Drosophila melanogaster: one gene and its partner. The gene in region 1 interacts genetically with each later gene. Each region holds a gene or a part of one and is shown in the gene's direction. Other genes may lie near its edges.

Region 1 (10,238 bases):
AAAGGTCTCAGAGCTTAGATTGAAACAATTCGTCCGATTTATTCCATAATTAATTAAGCTTTTCACAACTGAATTTATATAAAACAAATGATGTAATACAAAAAAGTAAGATACAAAACACAAAAAAGTAATAGAAGCTTTTCAAAAACTATTGTATATACAAATGTACATACATATGTATATGTATATAATTTTAAATCATTGATTTACCATTTCCGAACATTGAAAATTATAAATAAAAATGTGGTCTTGCACAATGCGAAAACAGATAACGACTAATGGGTTAAGAAGTGCACCGGAAGCGTGTGCCATCCGATCCCCGCTCTTACGGCCTGAGCAGTTCTACCTGTGGTTACCTGTTTGTCGCAGACGATTAGAAACTAATTAGCTGACCAACGCCGACATTTGCATCTCTGCCGAATGACGACACTCTTGGGCGGATTTACGATACGGGTCTGTTTGGCAGCCGGTTCGGCAGACTAGTTGTCGCGACGGTGGCTGATCGGATCGGATCAGCATTAGGTTTATGGCTACCCCGCTACCCGTAATTAGAACCCGTACTTAGGCACGGCGCTGACAGACCCCGATCGTCGGTCTAAGTAATAATAAATACGATTTTAATGAAATGCTAAAAGTTCATTTGGCTTATCTATGGGTTTGTCAACGATCCGCCACTTTTCGGAACTCAATTAGCTGCGGCTCGGGAATCGAAGATCGGGGATCTGTTCCATGTCAGTGTCATGAAGGGAGCTCGAACAAAGCAGCCACACAAAGAAAATGAAGCGAAAACCCGGGGATGCGAAGCCAAGCCGCTTACAGTGGTGCCGATTTCAAAAAGCAATCGAGCAACCCCTATAAATCACAGGGGGAGGTTTTAAGTGCACATAACACATAAAAAGAAATAAAAGCAGTGGAAAACACTGCGCAAAAAGTCAAACACGCTTTGCTACTTATGATCGCCATATGTGCAAGGGAAATCGGAACCAAGTACAGTCTGTCTTGGCTAAAAACAACGATGAGATGGTCTTCAATATGGCATCCAATATTCTAAATTAGATACACTATTTTCTTCTCTTTTGATAAATGTTATTAAAGTTCGTTATTTGAGCATTTCAATTTGATATTGAAATTATGATAACATTGTTAAATTGTTAACAACTTTAGACTATATGAACTATTATTTAGTGTTATATCATATTATAAATCATATTTTTGTAAATATTTCTTATGCACACCATGATTATGAGTTTCATACAAATAATTTGTTATAATAAATAAAAATCGTATCTACATATACATATGTACATGTAAAATTGTAGAAATATAATAATTAATTTAATTCCTGTTAGCCAGAGCCCACTGTATCACCAAAACACCACCCCGGGAGAACCTTGCCAAAAATTAATTACACAAAGTAAACAGCGCAGGCGCCCTTAAGTATGCCGCGCATCCTCGCCACGTGAGCGAGGGAGACGGTGCCAATCCGTTGTCCCTCTTGCTCGCCTGCCTGCTCGAACGTGAGAAATCAAGTGCCGCTCGGTTCGTTTTCCCTCAGTTCACGCTCCCGTTCTCAGTTCAAATTCATTCTCTTTCGAATCGTCGACGCGAACGGACGTTTAAAGTGAGAAAAGAAACCGGTAAATCAGAGATCCCAAGCAAGCGCGTGCGTGCATGATAGCGAAGAAAAAAAGCTATCCGTTTCAGTTAACTACTTACCAAGATTGAATTTCGCCATCGGGCAAATTACTAAAAATACATAAGTGCAACTCGTCCACTGTGTGTTGTGTTTTTTTTTTTTTTTTTGGTTTTCGCTGTGCCTTTATCGCAAACAAGAACTGATAAAACTAGAAAATATCTTGAGAAACTTGTTTTCGCGCTTTTCTTTTGCTAATTGCCGATCGCGGAAGAGAAAAACAAGCAGTAGACAAAACAAGTGTGGTAATACAATCTGAAAAGGGCACCATCAGCAGCCCGAGGGGTTTATCTATATAGATGTCGCAGCTTATCATCTCATGCTGTCTGTGAGGTTGTTCTGTGTGCTCGTGTAGTATCTTAAATACATAGAGTGTGTTCATATAAAGTGCGACAAAGCTCGATTGGAAACAGCTGTCGAGTGCCCTTGAGTGGGTGGGCAAGATCGTCATCATCATCATCGTCGTCATTATCAACAGAATCAGCATCAGCATCTGGAGGCCCCGGTTGCTCTAAGATCCCCAGTGTTCATCAATTATGACTGCCGAGACCCTCAAGCCGTTTATAACGCCAACGAGTGCCAACGATGATGGTTTTCCGGCCAAAGCGACCAGCACGGCGACCGCCCAGCGACGCACCCGCCAGCTGATCCCCCTGGTTTTGGGGTTCATCGGTCTGGGGCTGGTCGTTGCCATTCTCGCACTAACGGTAAGTTTTCCTTCACAATCATTTACCCAATAGCAGCCCAATCAGGTATTATTGCCCATTTGGATCGACTATCGCGATTCTAAACACACCAATTAGACTCTGAACTGAATGAAATCGTACTACAAAATTTTCATTAAGATGCTATTAATTGATAACATTGCGTCTCTATCTGCCTACTTAAGATAACAAACCATGCTTAAAGATGTTTAATTAAGGTGGCACAAATCATACTTAGTATTGAAATAATTACAAATAAATAAATAGTATAACATATTTTATGTGTGTTTGAGCGTCGTACAATCTCTTCAGTCGCATTTTATGTTTTTAATGTTTTTTAGCACACTAAAATCGTCAAATGTGCTGAATAGATTTAGTTAATGAATATAATTTGAAAAAGATTAAAGTAGTCACCTCCAAATTGAAATAGCTATTCCATACTTGAATGCCTTTTTTTTTGTTTGTTGTGTGCGATTAATGATTCGTCGGAATTCCAAAGGTGTGGGTATATCAGTTATTGGTGGGAGTTTCCCCAGAATATAGATAGGAATGAGTTGTTATGGGCTATGTTGTTTAATGATATTTTGGGCGCCAAAGTGGGCCAATCATGATTATATGGCCGTTTTAATGACTGTTTCGAAACGAGTGTAAAGGTATTACACTGATTCTTAAACTAGACTTTTGTAGAATTTGTGTTTTATTGTGTTTTTAGTGTTTTATTTTGGTAGTTTAATTTATAATTTTGCTTAGTTATCTCTCCAAAAACCATCACAACGACAGTTAGTTTTATCTGGAAAACAGATTGCACCAATAAAGTAATGAAAGCATAAAAACAGAGAGATTCCATTCAGCCATGAACCGCCTTCTAGACTCTGAACAGACTCCTATTTTTCGGAAATGTTTATTTCAGTAGCTTGCCAAAATAAAATGCGAATAAATATAAATGCAAATTGGACTTTAACAACGTATGTGTATAGACACCCCCGAAATCGCAATCTAAAAATGAATATTTAACCTTTGGCACGCTTCGGCTTATAAAGCTGTTTGTCACAAAGTCTTTGTTGATGCCAAATTAAAGACGAAATTCCGCGGATGCATAAATTGAAATGAAAACAGACTTTATGATCCGTGACCGTCGCAGATAGGTTAACTATAATTTGGCATGAAACTATATTTAGAGCGGGAAAAACGGCGGTTTCTTGGCTGATCAAGCGATGTCATCACCGACACGTCTTTAGGCCAAATCGGTTCCTAATGATCCAGCTAATCCAAATAAAGCGGATGCAGATGCTAGAGAAATGTTTATCGGTACATGTCTGTTCTTCCCTTTTGTTTTTGTTCAACCGATTTAAATGCCACTGAGTCCGTTCTGTTATGCATTCGATAAATCTTCGACTGGGTTGTTGTGTCATGTTTTTCCCTGATAACTTTGCGAATGAGTGTGCTCGCTGAAATCCGGATTTGAATTGCAGAAGATTAAGTTTGTGGACTTGAATCTGGTCCTTCTCTCCCACCCCCATTTCCCCCCCCCTCACCCAGGACTCCTCCATGACCCACTCAACTTTGGCTTAAGTGAACGGAAATCGTACAATTGACAATTGACTTGTAAATGATTGGCTTCAGCCACTGACGTGGGCCTCAAGTTCGGTTTTCCTCATAAATCTCCGTTAAGCCATGAAGCATTTTTCGTTGTTTAATTCAATTTCACTGACATTCGTACAAAGTAACCCTCATCATTTGGGGCCCTCTAAGAAAGTGACAAACTGCAGGCGCTGCGATCGATCTACTGATCGCCGATAAGCTCTAATGGAAAGTGGTTCACTGGAAACTTAAACAAGTTTCTTGGGTCTGCGTAAAGTCCATAATTTATACAAGAATTCAGTACAAGTTGTTGTGTGTACCTACATGTATGTACATGTGTATATTTCCCCGTCTGCGCGTACAGTGGCTTAAGTTGAGCCATTCTTTTCGATTTCGGCTGCCAGTCGAGACTTGAGAAGTGTCCGTATATAAGGCCTCTGCTCGGCCCGAATGTTAATGATCCATTAAGCAGATTATGTGGCTGAGTGGCGATCGTACGTACCCCGCCGTATTTCCCCACGAAATCTTTCTCGTCTCGCCTCTATCAGTTTGTTCAGTTAGTTTTTATATATTTTTCGGGTGTCAAAAGTTCGCGGCACTGGGTGTTATATGATGTGCCGGGCCTTAGCACCAGCTATAGATGTTTAATTGGGGCTACGTTAAATTGATTGCCCAATTGCTAATGAGCGGATGATTAGAAACGAGCCTGAATGAGTGTGTAACAATTGAATTATCTTATCTTGCAGATCTGGCAGACAACGCGTGTATCGCATCTGGACAAGGAGCTGAAGAGCCTGAAGCGAGTCGTCGATAATCTCCAGCAGCGTTTGGGCATAAACTATCTGGACGAGTTCGACGAGTTCCAAAAGGAGGTGAGCAATTGCGTAAATCACTTTCGAGCATCAATATTTGTACTCGGCGATGGGGCAGGGGCTGTAACATTTGCCCCGGGCAAATACAGATACCTCGAATTGTTTACAAAGTCGGAAATGATTGTTATTCCTTGAGGCTGGTACTTGAGTTTTTAATGAGGGTATATCGAACTTTTGTTATTGAGTATCTATTATGTTTAGTTTTCTTTTTGCCTAAAGGGTAATTTGCATTTTATGATGGCAAACTCTGGCTAGGGTATCTCACAGTCGGTAAGCCATGCGCCTGTTTTTGAAAAAGAATGCCTCAAAAAAATGACCAGACGTAATATGTGGTTATTGTGTGGGACATACAAAAATATTTATAGAATTATGTGCTAAAATATAATTTCGACGCTGTTTCATCTGTTATTTGTTTCATTTTTTTTTGTTAGCTGCTTGGCCAAAGGCACATAGAAAATTGTGATAGATTATTTGAATTATAATGTCTCTTTCCGCAAGGAAACACTCATTTCAAATATGAGGCGCCAGCCAGTTCACGTAATTTATGAGATACAAATCCCCAAGTGACAAAAGGTAAAAGCCCCAATAATTCAACAAAAATACTAGGCTCTATCAGTAGATATAGTCGTTCAAGGCGAGCGATCGCTTTTGGCTGTATGTGACGATTGATCGAATCTCATCAAATGGCCTAATGGCCAGAGATGGTTTTAAGATTTTAAGATTTATTTATATTTTGATGGCTGGGCATCTGTGGTGCCAATTCTCTTGAGAGTTTCCTTCGCTTTTAAATATATGTATGATGTACACAAGTATATGTATACGAGTATCATGTTTTTGAGCGAGGCGCCATCAATTAGGATGATGACGAAACAGCCTGTGCTGCGGGCGTGTGTCTAAAAATGAACGTCCCAAATGGATGTGAGATATGTGCCAGGACTGTGCCAGCTGCAGTCACGTACTTGGCCAAGTCTTCTGACCCAAAATGCTGATGCCCATCCCTTCGTTGCAGTACGAGAATGCCCTCATCGACTATCCAAAAAAGGTGGATGGCCTCACGGATGAGGAGGACGACGACGATGGCGATGGTCTGGATTCCATTGCGGACGACGAGGACGACGACGTTAGCTATAGCTCTGTGGATGATGTTGGCGCAGACTACGAGGACTACACCGATATGTTAAATAAACTCAACAATGCACATACCGGCACCACGCCCACATCTGAGACCACTGCTGAGGGCGAGGGCGAGACGGACAGTGCATCCTCAGCCTCAAATGATGACAATGTGTTCGATGACTTTACCAGCTACAATGCCCACAAAAAGAAGCAGGAGAGGTGAGCACGGATGAAATTTTCAGGGATTTATCGTATTAAGCCTCTGCTTTTCCTCTTCACAGAAAATCTCGCTCGATTGCCGATGTACGCAATGAGGAGCAGAATATTCAAGGAAATCACACAGAGCTTCAGGAAAAGTCATCCAATGAGGCAACTTCCAAAGAGAGGTAAGTAGAACGTTCCGTTGAAAACAGGCAAGAAAAACCATTAATGAAGTTATATGCTATGGGTTAAAGATAGATAGTTAACTGCGTAACTGAAACACATATGTATACATTTTCTTTTTACTTGAAGCCCTGCACCACTTCACCACCGTCGCAGAATGCATTCCCGCCATCGCCACCTCCTAGTCCGCAAAGGTGTGTAGTGTAGAAAAGCGAAACAATTGGCAAAAATCGAATACCAAATCTCTATTCGCACCTCTGTTAATTTGCAGGTGAATCTCTTCTTTCAGCCAGATCCGAGGACTCGAGGCCAGCAGCCCATTTCCACTTGAGCAGCAGGCGGCGTCACCAAGGAAGTATGGGTAAGGAGATGCTTCCGCGTCAAGCGTGTACATACAAGTACTACAGGCAACCTAATGAAGTCACTTCTTGAATTTCTCAGGCTACCATGGAGATATGTACATAGGAAATGATAACGAGAGAAACTCTTATCAGGGACACTTTCAAACGCGCGATGGCGTCTTGACGGTGACCAATACAGGCCTATATTACGTATACGCCCAGATATGCTACAACAACTCGCACGACCAGAACGGATTTATCGTCTTTCAAGGAGACACTCCATTCCTGCAGTGCTTGAACACGGTGCCCACCAACATGCCACATAAGGTGCACACCTGCCACACGAGTGGTCTGATCCACCTGGAACGAAACGAGAGGATCCATCTGAAGGACATTCACAACGATCGCAATGCAGTTCTGCGGGAGGGAAACAACCGAAGCTACTTTGGCATCTTCAAGGTGTAAATTGGAGAGATTATCCCCGGTCAGAAGATGGAATACCAGTTTAAGCTTTTGTCCCCGCGACTGCTCGTGAATGCGATTCATCGCCAGCGTGAATCCATTAGTTCGTAGTACCTAGTCTTAGTCACTCCAAACCTAATCTCAATCGGAATCGTGCATACTGCATTAGTCAGAAGACGGAGGAAAATCATATTTATTTTGTATATACTCGTTCGACTCTAAAAAGTGAATAAAAATATATGTAGCTATTACCCGCTTGTGTAAGCGTGTTTAAGAAACATCAATTGAATCAATTGCTACCAGTTGCAATTGAAAATATTATAATCTTCTAAATAATGAATATTCGTTCTTAGTATAATTCGATTCAAAATGCTTCAAATGCTTTCAATTCAAATCTCAAATGAAGAGCCATTCAAAGATATCCCTCAGCTTTATTTGTGCAATTCCAGCTTACTATGGTCTTTATTAAAAATTTTGAATGGAATTTGGTCAAAGGGCAGGGAAATTGCTTTGCAACTGGATAATATCCGGACCGGGAGTTGTATTGCAGCTCGAGCGTCTGTCCCGGGCAACATCTGCATCGCCATCGTCATAGTCATGGAAACCACAGGAGAGTAAGGAAGTCCGAACTTCAAATCTTTTTACCCACATGTTCCGAGAATTCGGACAATTGGACACGAAGGAGGGGCCAAAGTACAGTCATCGGTAAGACGACCAAATCAGTCTTGCAGACGTCATGTACAAGAAAATGTTGAGGTGGCATTTTCATGCTAAGCTTGATTGATCAAATAATCAATTAGTTGTACCTGGTGTTTTCTAGTGTATACTCCTTGACAACAATTAGCAAGGATTAATGAGAATGGATACAACAATTCATTTTTGACTACACGTCACACGACCTGTTCATGTCGTAAATTTAAAGACAAGCTTAAAATACCTGAAAATGACAAAATGATATATACATTTTGAATACTTATTTTTGTTTTCCCATCTTCAGCCAAAGACAAATTTCTAGTGGTTGGGAGGGGGAACTCCGGATATGATTGTGGGGCGTATGCACGCCGATTGTCGGGCGGGCGGAGTAACAGGTGGCTCGAATTGGGGTCCTGCTGATGGGAGAGAGCAACAGTTCGTTCCCGGAATTGGTTTGTGCTTTTGGCCTGGCCATAACGTGTGTACATAACCCCCAGCTGCAGCGCCCGTCAGATGTTCCGTGTGCCATGCGCACTGGTCGGGAAATCGCAACCAGGCCCGAAATTGCTGGGGAAATGGCATCCTGTCAGCCGGAAAGCTTTCTACTATTTACCTGGACTTATTTGCTATTTACCCTCCGATTGCATACGAAGTCAAAGCGCATCTATTTTGCATATAGAGCCTGGCAATTGGCAATTCGTTTCTGATTTCAGTGCAGTGTGTGTCGATTTCTCTTTCCAAGTAGTTCAAGTAGTTGGATTGAAGGATCTGCAAGGAATACGTTGCGCGAAATGGTGAGTCGGCACAACACTTAAAATGTCAAGAGGTGGCATTTTATTCATAATAACATCATGTAGAAAAATGTTAAGACATAAATTTAAATGCATTTGATTGCATTTGACGGTACAAATATTCAGTTCCAATTCCACGAAAATTTATCAAAAGTTTGGTCAGAGATCCATAGACTTGAATCCCTGATGATATCAAAAGATTGCAAGTACTATTCGGCCTTCTCGCCCATCTTGGCCTGAATCTCGTTAAGCGTTTTTCCCTTTGTCTCGGGAATTAGGAAGAGAATGAAGACAAAGGCGGCCACCGCAAATCCGAAGAAGATTGCAAAGCACGCGGTTGCTCCAATAATATCGTTAAGAACAGGGAAAAGAAGGGTCACGATAAAAGCAAAACACCAATTTGTAGTCCCGGCAATCGATCCTGCTAGGGCCTTTACATCCTCGGCAAAGAGCTCGGCCATCATCAGCCAGGGAACTGGACCGAATCCCAGGGAGAATCCAATAATAAAAACACAAACGGCAATTAGGGCCAGCCAGCCGACTCCAGATTTCATCAACATGCCAAAGTAAAGAGCCATGATCAGGGTGCTGATACCCATCATGCAGGCGGACACCAATAGGAGTATCTTCCGACCGACTTTCTCAATAACCAGGATCGAAATGATAGTGGCAATAGCCTGCACAATGCCCACAATAATTGTAGATATTCTGGGCTCCAGGGTCGATCCAGCCGTCTCAAAGATGAATGTAGAATAGAAAATAATCGCATTGATGCCCGTCATCTGCTGGAACAACATGAGACCGATGGAGAGGAACAGCCCCTTGAGGGTAATCCTGCGGCATAGGATTTTCCCAACGCTAGCCTTCTCCTTTTGGCCCTCGGCGCTCATTTCCTTCAGCTCACCGCTCACATCCGCATCCTTTCCGCGCAGAAATTTAAGAGATTTCTCCGCCTTCTCGGCTTTTCCCTTTTGGGCCAGAAAAATCGGAGATTCCGGCATAAAAATCATCAAGACAAAAAAGATTACGGGCAAAATTGCGCAAGCAATATTAAAGTAGAAGGTCTTTACAAAACCTCCAACCACAAAGGCGTACAGAATACCAAAAACGATTAGCAGCTGGAAGAAGCATCCCATGGTTCCGCGGTACTGGACCTGGGCTATCTCAGTCACGTACATGGGACAAGTCACGCAGAAGGCTCCTCCGCAGAATCCCACTACGAAGCGTCCGAGCAGCAGCATTGCTATGTGCGATGCCAGGAGGATCAGGAGCCATCCGATAAAGAACGGTGGCAGCAGGATTAGCATTGTCGTCTTCCGCCCGATCTTACCAATGAGCACGCCCACCGGAATGCACGAGAAAGCTGCACCCAGAGTCATCAGAGATCCCACCAGGCCCCATTCCGTTTGACGAGGGGTAAAGTTGTACGCGTTAGAATTCTTGACTTCATTTTCCACCGGTCCTGACCAGCCGATCACTGCGCCTAGACAAAAGGCGCCCAGGGCGCCGATGAAACCAACAATAAACTGAGTGGCAGTTCCCATTTTTACATAAAATGCGCGATGAAAAAATCAGTGTTTCGATTTATATTTGTACAATTT
Region 2 (6,005 bases), on another chromosome or scaffold:
TTCTTCAGAATTTTCGACGGGCCTCTTTTATTTTGAAATATGGGCTATTAAACTAGTTTTAGGTCTAGAATCTAATTTGTTTTAAATTATATTGCGAACATTTTATAATACCACATTATTAAGAGAGCTACTAGAGCTACATAGATACAAAGCTAATAAATGGATCTAAAGTAATGCCAGTTACGAGAATTATTTGCCGTAAAATTTAAATTAAAAGCCAAGAATTGTTTTACGCGTATTTCGTAATTTTTTTCAAGCGTTTTCGCGCGCAAAGTTGGGAATGACAGAGAAGGAAATAGAGAGAGAGAGAGAGAGAGAGAAAAGGAGAGGAAAAAGCCTGTTTGTATAATGTGTGGGAGGGAGAGGGGAAGATGCAGAGGAAGACAAGAGTAAGAGCGAAAACAGGTTTTTCATGTTGCACAGTCAATTTTTGATATATGGTGAAATTGATTAAATATAGCCAACATCCAAATCGGAAATGTAATTAGCTAAACTCCTTATCGTATATTCAAAAACACGTTTGAAATGTTTAATGTGAATGAACGCCAACTAAATAGTCTTTATTACATTGCTTGAATACCCAAAATATAAAACAATTTAATTTATTTTATTAAATACAATAAACTAGCTAATCATTCTCTGCATAAATGTACATACATACATACATATGTACATTCATTTAGCCAGTAAAACCTGAGCTAAGCAAGTTGGATCCTTTGTTAATCATGTTGCTATTTTTCAAATTTATATTCAAAAAAAAAGTATTGAACATTATAAAATTGTGAACTTCCCTTCTCAAAATATTTTAAAATGTGAGAAAGTAATCAAGCTTTGTCTAAAAACTCCCTTTTTTCTACTACCTTTTTAACTCATTTAATCCGCTCATAGAATATACTCCCATTTATCATACTCTTTCTACTCCGGTTTTTTGGCCTCTTAAGAACGCTTGCTCTCCCTCCGCTCTCTTGTTTAAACAAATACAAATCAAAACCGAAAGCAAGAGCAAAGTGCAATAACGAAAACCACAAGCAAAGAGTGTTGTACAATTGCAGTTTTTGTTTTGCTTTAGCGTTCGCTAGGCAGCGCAGTCGGATATACTGCCTCTTCGCTACTTCTGATGAGTTTTCTTCTTCTTCTGAATTTACCTGCTCGACAAGATCTTTGTGTACCCACACATACACGCGTACACAGCCTGCCCACACACTCTTAGTTGAAACGAGAAAGAACGTTTTGTAAGAGTACCAACTGAGACATACCCTTCACATTGTTTGTGCATCTAAATATGTACTTTATGTTGTAAGTAAATATGAGTTATAAAATAGTGTTACTTCAGCAATTAGTGCGCTGGTACAATATTTCAGTTTTTTCAGTATGCGAAAGCCAATCAATTAAATTTTTACAACCTTAAAATCTAGATATGTTAACTATGCTCCTTGATGCATTTATGTAGACGCAATTCATGGTCCGAGTATACTCTTCCTCACTCAGCTATTACAGGGTAGGTAAAGAGCGGGATTTTTTAAAATATTTTTTTTCTCTCAAGTGTGCCTCCTTCATGCACGTGCATGTGCAGGAGAGGGAGCGAGAGAGATTGCGATTGCACTGGCTGCGCGCCTACGCTGCCGCTCTGCCGACGTCGCGGTAGAGGCTCTGTTGCCGTAGTTTGAGGCCCCAGTGCGAACAGTTCATTTTTAGCCGCGGAGCCAGTAAGACGTGTTTCCTGCCCTCTTTCTTTGAGTCTGCGACACGTTTTAAGTGCTCTTCCATAATTGACAACAGCAAAAGCAAAGAATAAAAAAATAACAAAAAATAAAAAACGAAATCCATCGTGAACAGTTTTGTGTTTTTAAATCAGTTCTAAACACGAAAAGGGTTGATGAAAAACGCAGAAGAATCCGAAAAACTAACTAACCGAGCAAAAACTTGACTTGAGTGTTGTTTGACAAATCAGGAAAGATAAAAAACAAATCATAAGAAAAAACTGCACGAAAAATGAAAAAGTTTCTAATATTCAAAATCTTGCACAAGAAATACAAAATCAATTAAAGTGAACTCTAACCAAAAGTTGTACACAAAATAAAAAGCAAAACAAAGCAGCGAAGAACAATCACAAGAAGAGCAAAGTGCCAACAAAGTGCAGGAAGGAAGGAAGCGGATAAGGACAAAAAGGAAGCCAGCACACACACACACCCACACAATGGCCGTGCCCTTTTATTTGCCCGAGGGCGGCGCCGATGACGTAGCGTCGAGTTCATCGGGAGCCTCGGGCAACTCCTCCCCCCACAACCACCCACTTCCCTCGAGCGCATCCTCGTCCGTCTCCTCCTCGGGCGTGTCCTCGGCCTCCGCCTCCTCGGCCTCATCTTCGTCCTCCGCATCGTCGGACGGCGCCAGCAGCGCCGCCTCGCAATCGCCGAACACCACCACCTCGTCGGCCACGCAGACGCCGATGCAGTCTCCACTGCCCACCGACCAAGTGCTATACGCCCTCTACGAGTGGGTCAGGATGTACCAGAGCCAGCAGAGTGGTAAGTCTACAAAGATCTCAATTCTCCACTCTTAAGAACTTTGAAATTGTGTGGGTTAATCAGGATATCCATTTAGTTTACCTCAAATACATTTGCAGATACAAAAATAAGTTTCGATTCATATACGGTTATTAATTGCGAAATGTTTAAGAAGTTCCCACACAGAATAACTGCTTACGCATGTTGGTAATATATTTTCTAAAATGCTTATAACCAACACTTTATTTAAGCCCACTTGTTTTGCTATTAACAAGAAGGATTTTCATAGGATCTCCTTGTAAAAGTAAACAAAAAATGTTATTAACTTGAAATTGCTTAAAGAATAGTAAATTTATTTCTTTCGAAAAAACAGCATTTTAAATGTTTGAAGATATTTTCAAACTAATAGATTTGATCAATAAAAAATGGCGAACAATTTTTTTCTATACAAGCGACTTTAAAGGTTTCATATTTTTGATTACCGCTTTTAATATCATTTAGTTTAGTTTAAGAAAGTTTCTGGACAGCCGGAGGGTTTCCCTCATTTTAAAATGGGTCAGCAATTAGCCAAGTTGTGACGTTATTTGTTAACTGCTTCAGTTCCCCTTGTGCAAGTTTCACTTTTCAAGGTTGTTGATTCATCCAGTTTCGAGTAACTGCGTCAACTGCATCCAGGTTGTTTTTGTTTACTTTTACCCAGTTTTTTTTTTATTTTATATATGGTCAATTCAGCACTTTGTCAGCTTATCAGCAAAAAAAAAAGTGTAAAAGGCAGAGCGGAAGGCAAATTTCTCGGCCACATTCGAAAGGAAGCCGAAAAAACGGTAATTCAATAAAAATTAATCGAACAAGTTCAAAAAGGGGAAAATTGAGAAGTAATTGAGAAGTTTCGATTGGAGGAGAGAGCAAACTTAATAAACGAAGTCACAAAACTGCAAAAACTCAAAATCATGTGGGGAATTACTGGATCAAATTCCCAAAGTGGGAATCTTACAAATTAAAAAATTTTGTATTGAGACAAAAATCTACTTATGTTATAAATAAATGAAAATAAAGTAGAAATGGTGATAACTAGCTCGATAAATCACATTAAGATCAATTTCCTTCGGTCATGATTATCTAAACTAGGCTGATAAAACTTTTAGTGTGCTATGGCTTTAAGAAAGAAACGCCGAGACACATGCAAGACAACTGCCGAGTTGGCTGTCATGCGATATTGTTCGTAAATATGGTCAAAAAATTGGGCGTGTGCTGGACCAGCAAGAAAATAAAGACCTGGCTGAAACCAGGGAAACATAACCCAGCGGCAATAAAACAGAGCTGGGAGCACAGAGCTAAGCACGTTTAATTGGCACGCGCCAAACTCGAGTCGAATGTCTTACTTTTGAGACTTTTGAGTGAGTGTGGTGTGCCTGTGTGTCTGGGTATCTGCAAGATATCTATCTATCTCGAGCGTACTGCTCGTATATCTTACCACTCGACTAACCCAAATTATTAAACGCCATTTGACCTTAGGCAACTAGTTTTCCGATTTTCCAAAAGGGGGCCAAACGGGTTGAGGGTGTGGGCCATTTGCAAAGTGTTTGACTTAACGGTTGTTTAAGTAGCTTTTGTGCTCGGCCACGTTGAGTGCGGTCAGTTTTTATTGTTTTTCTTTTTTTTGCGCGCGCGCTTTTCATGTTTGCTTTGCGGTTTTTCATTCGCGTTCCTTAATTTTGTGTTGCCTTTGCATAATAGATTTTGTCGCTGTCGATGATTGCCAGCTGCGCTCTTTGGTTCCACCGAACAACCGAATTGTTACTTTATATTATTTTGCTGTTTTATTTGGTTTGTTACCTTTTTTGCTGTCAGCAACAGTTGGTCAGACGAAAAAAAAGCGTTCCCTTCTCGAAATTACAGTGAGTCACTTTTGGGCGCTTCAATCTGTTTTCGTCTATAATATCATAATTTATACAGAGATACTTTTTTTTCGCTTACGAGAGCTGATGCCCAGTGAAAATTCGATTGCGGGGCATTTATTTTGAAAAACGAGCTAAAAAGACTTGACGTTATCGTGAAAGTTTCGATTTAAAAGTAATTTTCCCTTATCTCATTTTCCCGAACCACATCTAAGCCCCTACTCAACGCACGCCGATCATGTACTTTAGTTAGCCACTCAAGAGGATAATTTATCTAATCGTGACACATCCCGAAACTAGTGAACAATGCTTGAAGCCCTTGAAACAAGAAAGGGATAAACTGTAGTTAACCAAGAAGCGAGAACCCTTTTTCCTGGTTCCCCCAGCTATGCCATACATACACACATACATGCAAGCCAGATTCACGGAATACTTTTAGCCAGAAACGCGCTTAGTCATCAGCCAGCTATCAACCCTAAAAGCCTAAAAATGCGAGGCGCAAACAACCCCGACAAAAATTCCTAAATACCAACAGAGCTTTTCCCTACCAAAAGCAAAAAAAAAAATGCGGCAGGGAGCCTTTTGTTTTGGGAGAGGATTATGCATACAGCATCCAGAGCCCACCACGTAACCCATTCCCAATGGCGACCAACAAAAGGTGCAATGACAGCAGCGGTTCCCTAATCAGTGATGGGAACAGGTACATTTTATCTGTTGGCTAATTGGATGCAGATTAAAAGATGCGTAAACCTAGCGGTTATTATGTAAACTATTATGGACTATTACTTTTTTGGTTCAACATTTAGTTATTAACATAGATTTTTGTTATCATAGATAATAATATGTACCTATGTAGGTACAGTGCAGAGTACAAAAATGTTCCCCACCGTACTCAACTCCAAGTTTTGGTCGCTCTGCTTTGGCTTGCAAATTCGCATCATTCGCTTTGCTGTTGCCAACAGCTGTTCTGCTGCTAGGCGTTGTTTTTCGCTGCCGGCGTCTCTGCCGCACTTGACATTTTCAACCATTTTGTTTTGCTCGGCAACTTCGTGTAGGTGGACTTTAGTAGAAAAGAGGAGCCATAATGGCGGCAAAAATGGCGACTCCTGCCGCATCCTGCCTGGCAACAAAACACAGCTGACTGCTGCGCAGATAGAGCGAGATGAAGCCTACGCCTGGAGAAAGAGAGGGAGCGCAAAAACTCCGATTAACCGCAAGTTTTGAACTCCTCTTTTTTCTGCACAGCATCACAAAGGGGGTGGGAAAATAGGAGGAGGGTTGGATGGGAGGAGGTTTGCCTCCGCTTTTCATCATCGTCATTTCCATCTCGATTTGCTTGGCCTGTTGCCAAGCTGATTTATACGTACAGGCGGCTTTTTATATTTTACATACTTTGCATTGCTTTTTTCTGTTTCTCTCGTTGTCTGCTTTATTTTTTCGCTTTTCGTTGGTATTACGGCTTCGCCTTTACATTGACCGTGATTTTTGGTTTCCTTCTGGTTTTGTTTTCGATTTTTTTATTTTTCCCTTGCAAATACATATGCAGCTTTTTTTTGTTGAGTTGCGTCCTCTGTAATTGTTACATTTCATTTAAGTTTTA

Evidence for each region. A genetic interaction does not mean that the proteins touch.
Region 2: of egr (region 1) and hid, changing one suppresses a phenotype caused by changing the other (phenotypic suppression), as found in Drosophila melanogaster (2 studies listed by BioGRID).

Annotation. Positions count from the first base shown.
Region 1 is NT_033778.4:10,076,783-10,087,020, forward strand, and holds egr (eiger), read left to right. Parts: upstream 1-1,583; 5' UTR 1,584-2,229; coding exon 2,230-2,400; intron 2,401-3,830; exon of another isoform or gene 3,831-3,912; intron 3,913-4,005; exon of another isoform or gene 4,006-4,142; intron 4,143-4,405; exon of another isoform or gene 4,406-4,543; intron 4,544-4,724; coding exon 4,725-4,850; intron 4,851-5,470; exon of another isoform or gene 5,471-5,540; intron 5,541-5,859; coding exon 5,860-6,185; intron 6,186-6,247; coding exon 6,248-6,352; intron 6,353-6,479; coding exon 6,480-6,544; intron 6,545-6,621; coding exon 6,622-6,711; intron 6,712-6,791; coding exon 6,792-7,156; 3' UTR 7,157-7,428; downstream 7,429-10,238. Other genes in the region: sut4 (sugar transporter 4), read right to left, coding at 8,847-10,181.
Region 2 is NT_037436.4:18,181,315-18,187,319, reverse strand, and holds the start of hid (head involution defective), read left to right. Parts: upstream 1-1,678; 5' UTR 1,679-2,197; coding exon 2,198-2,528; intron 2,529-6,005.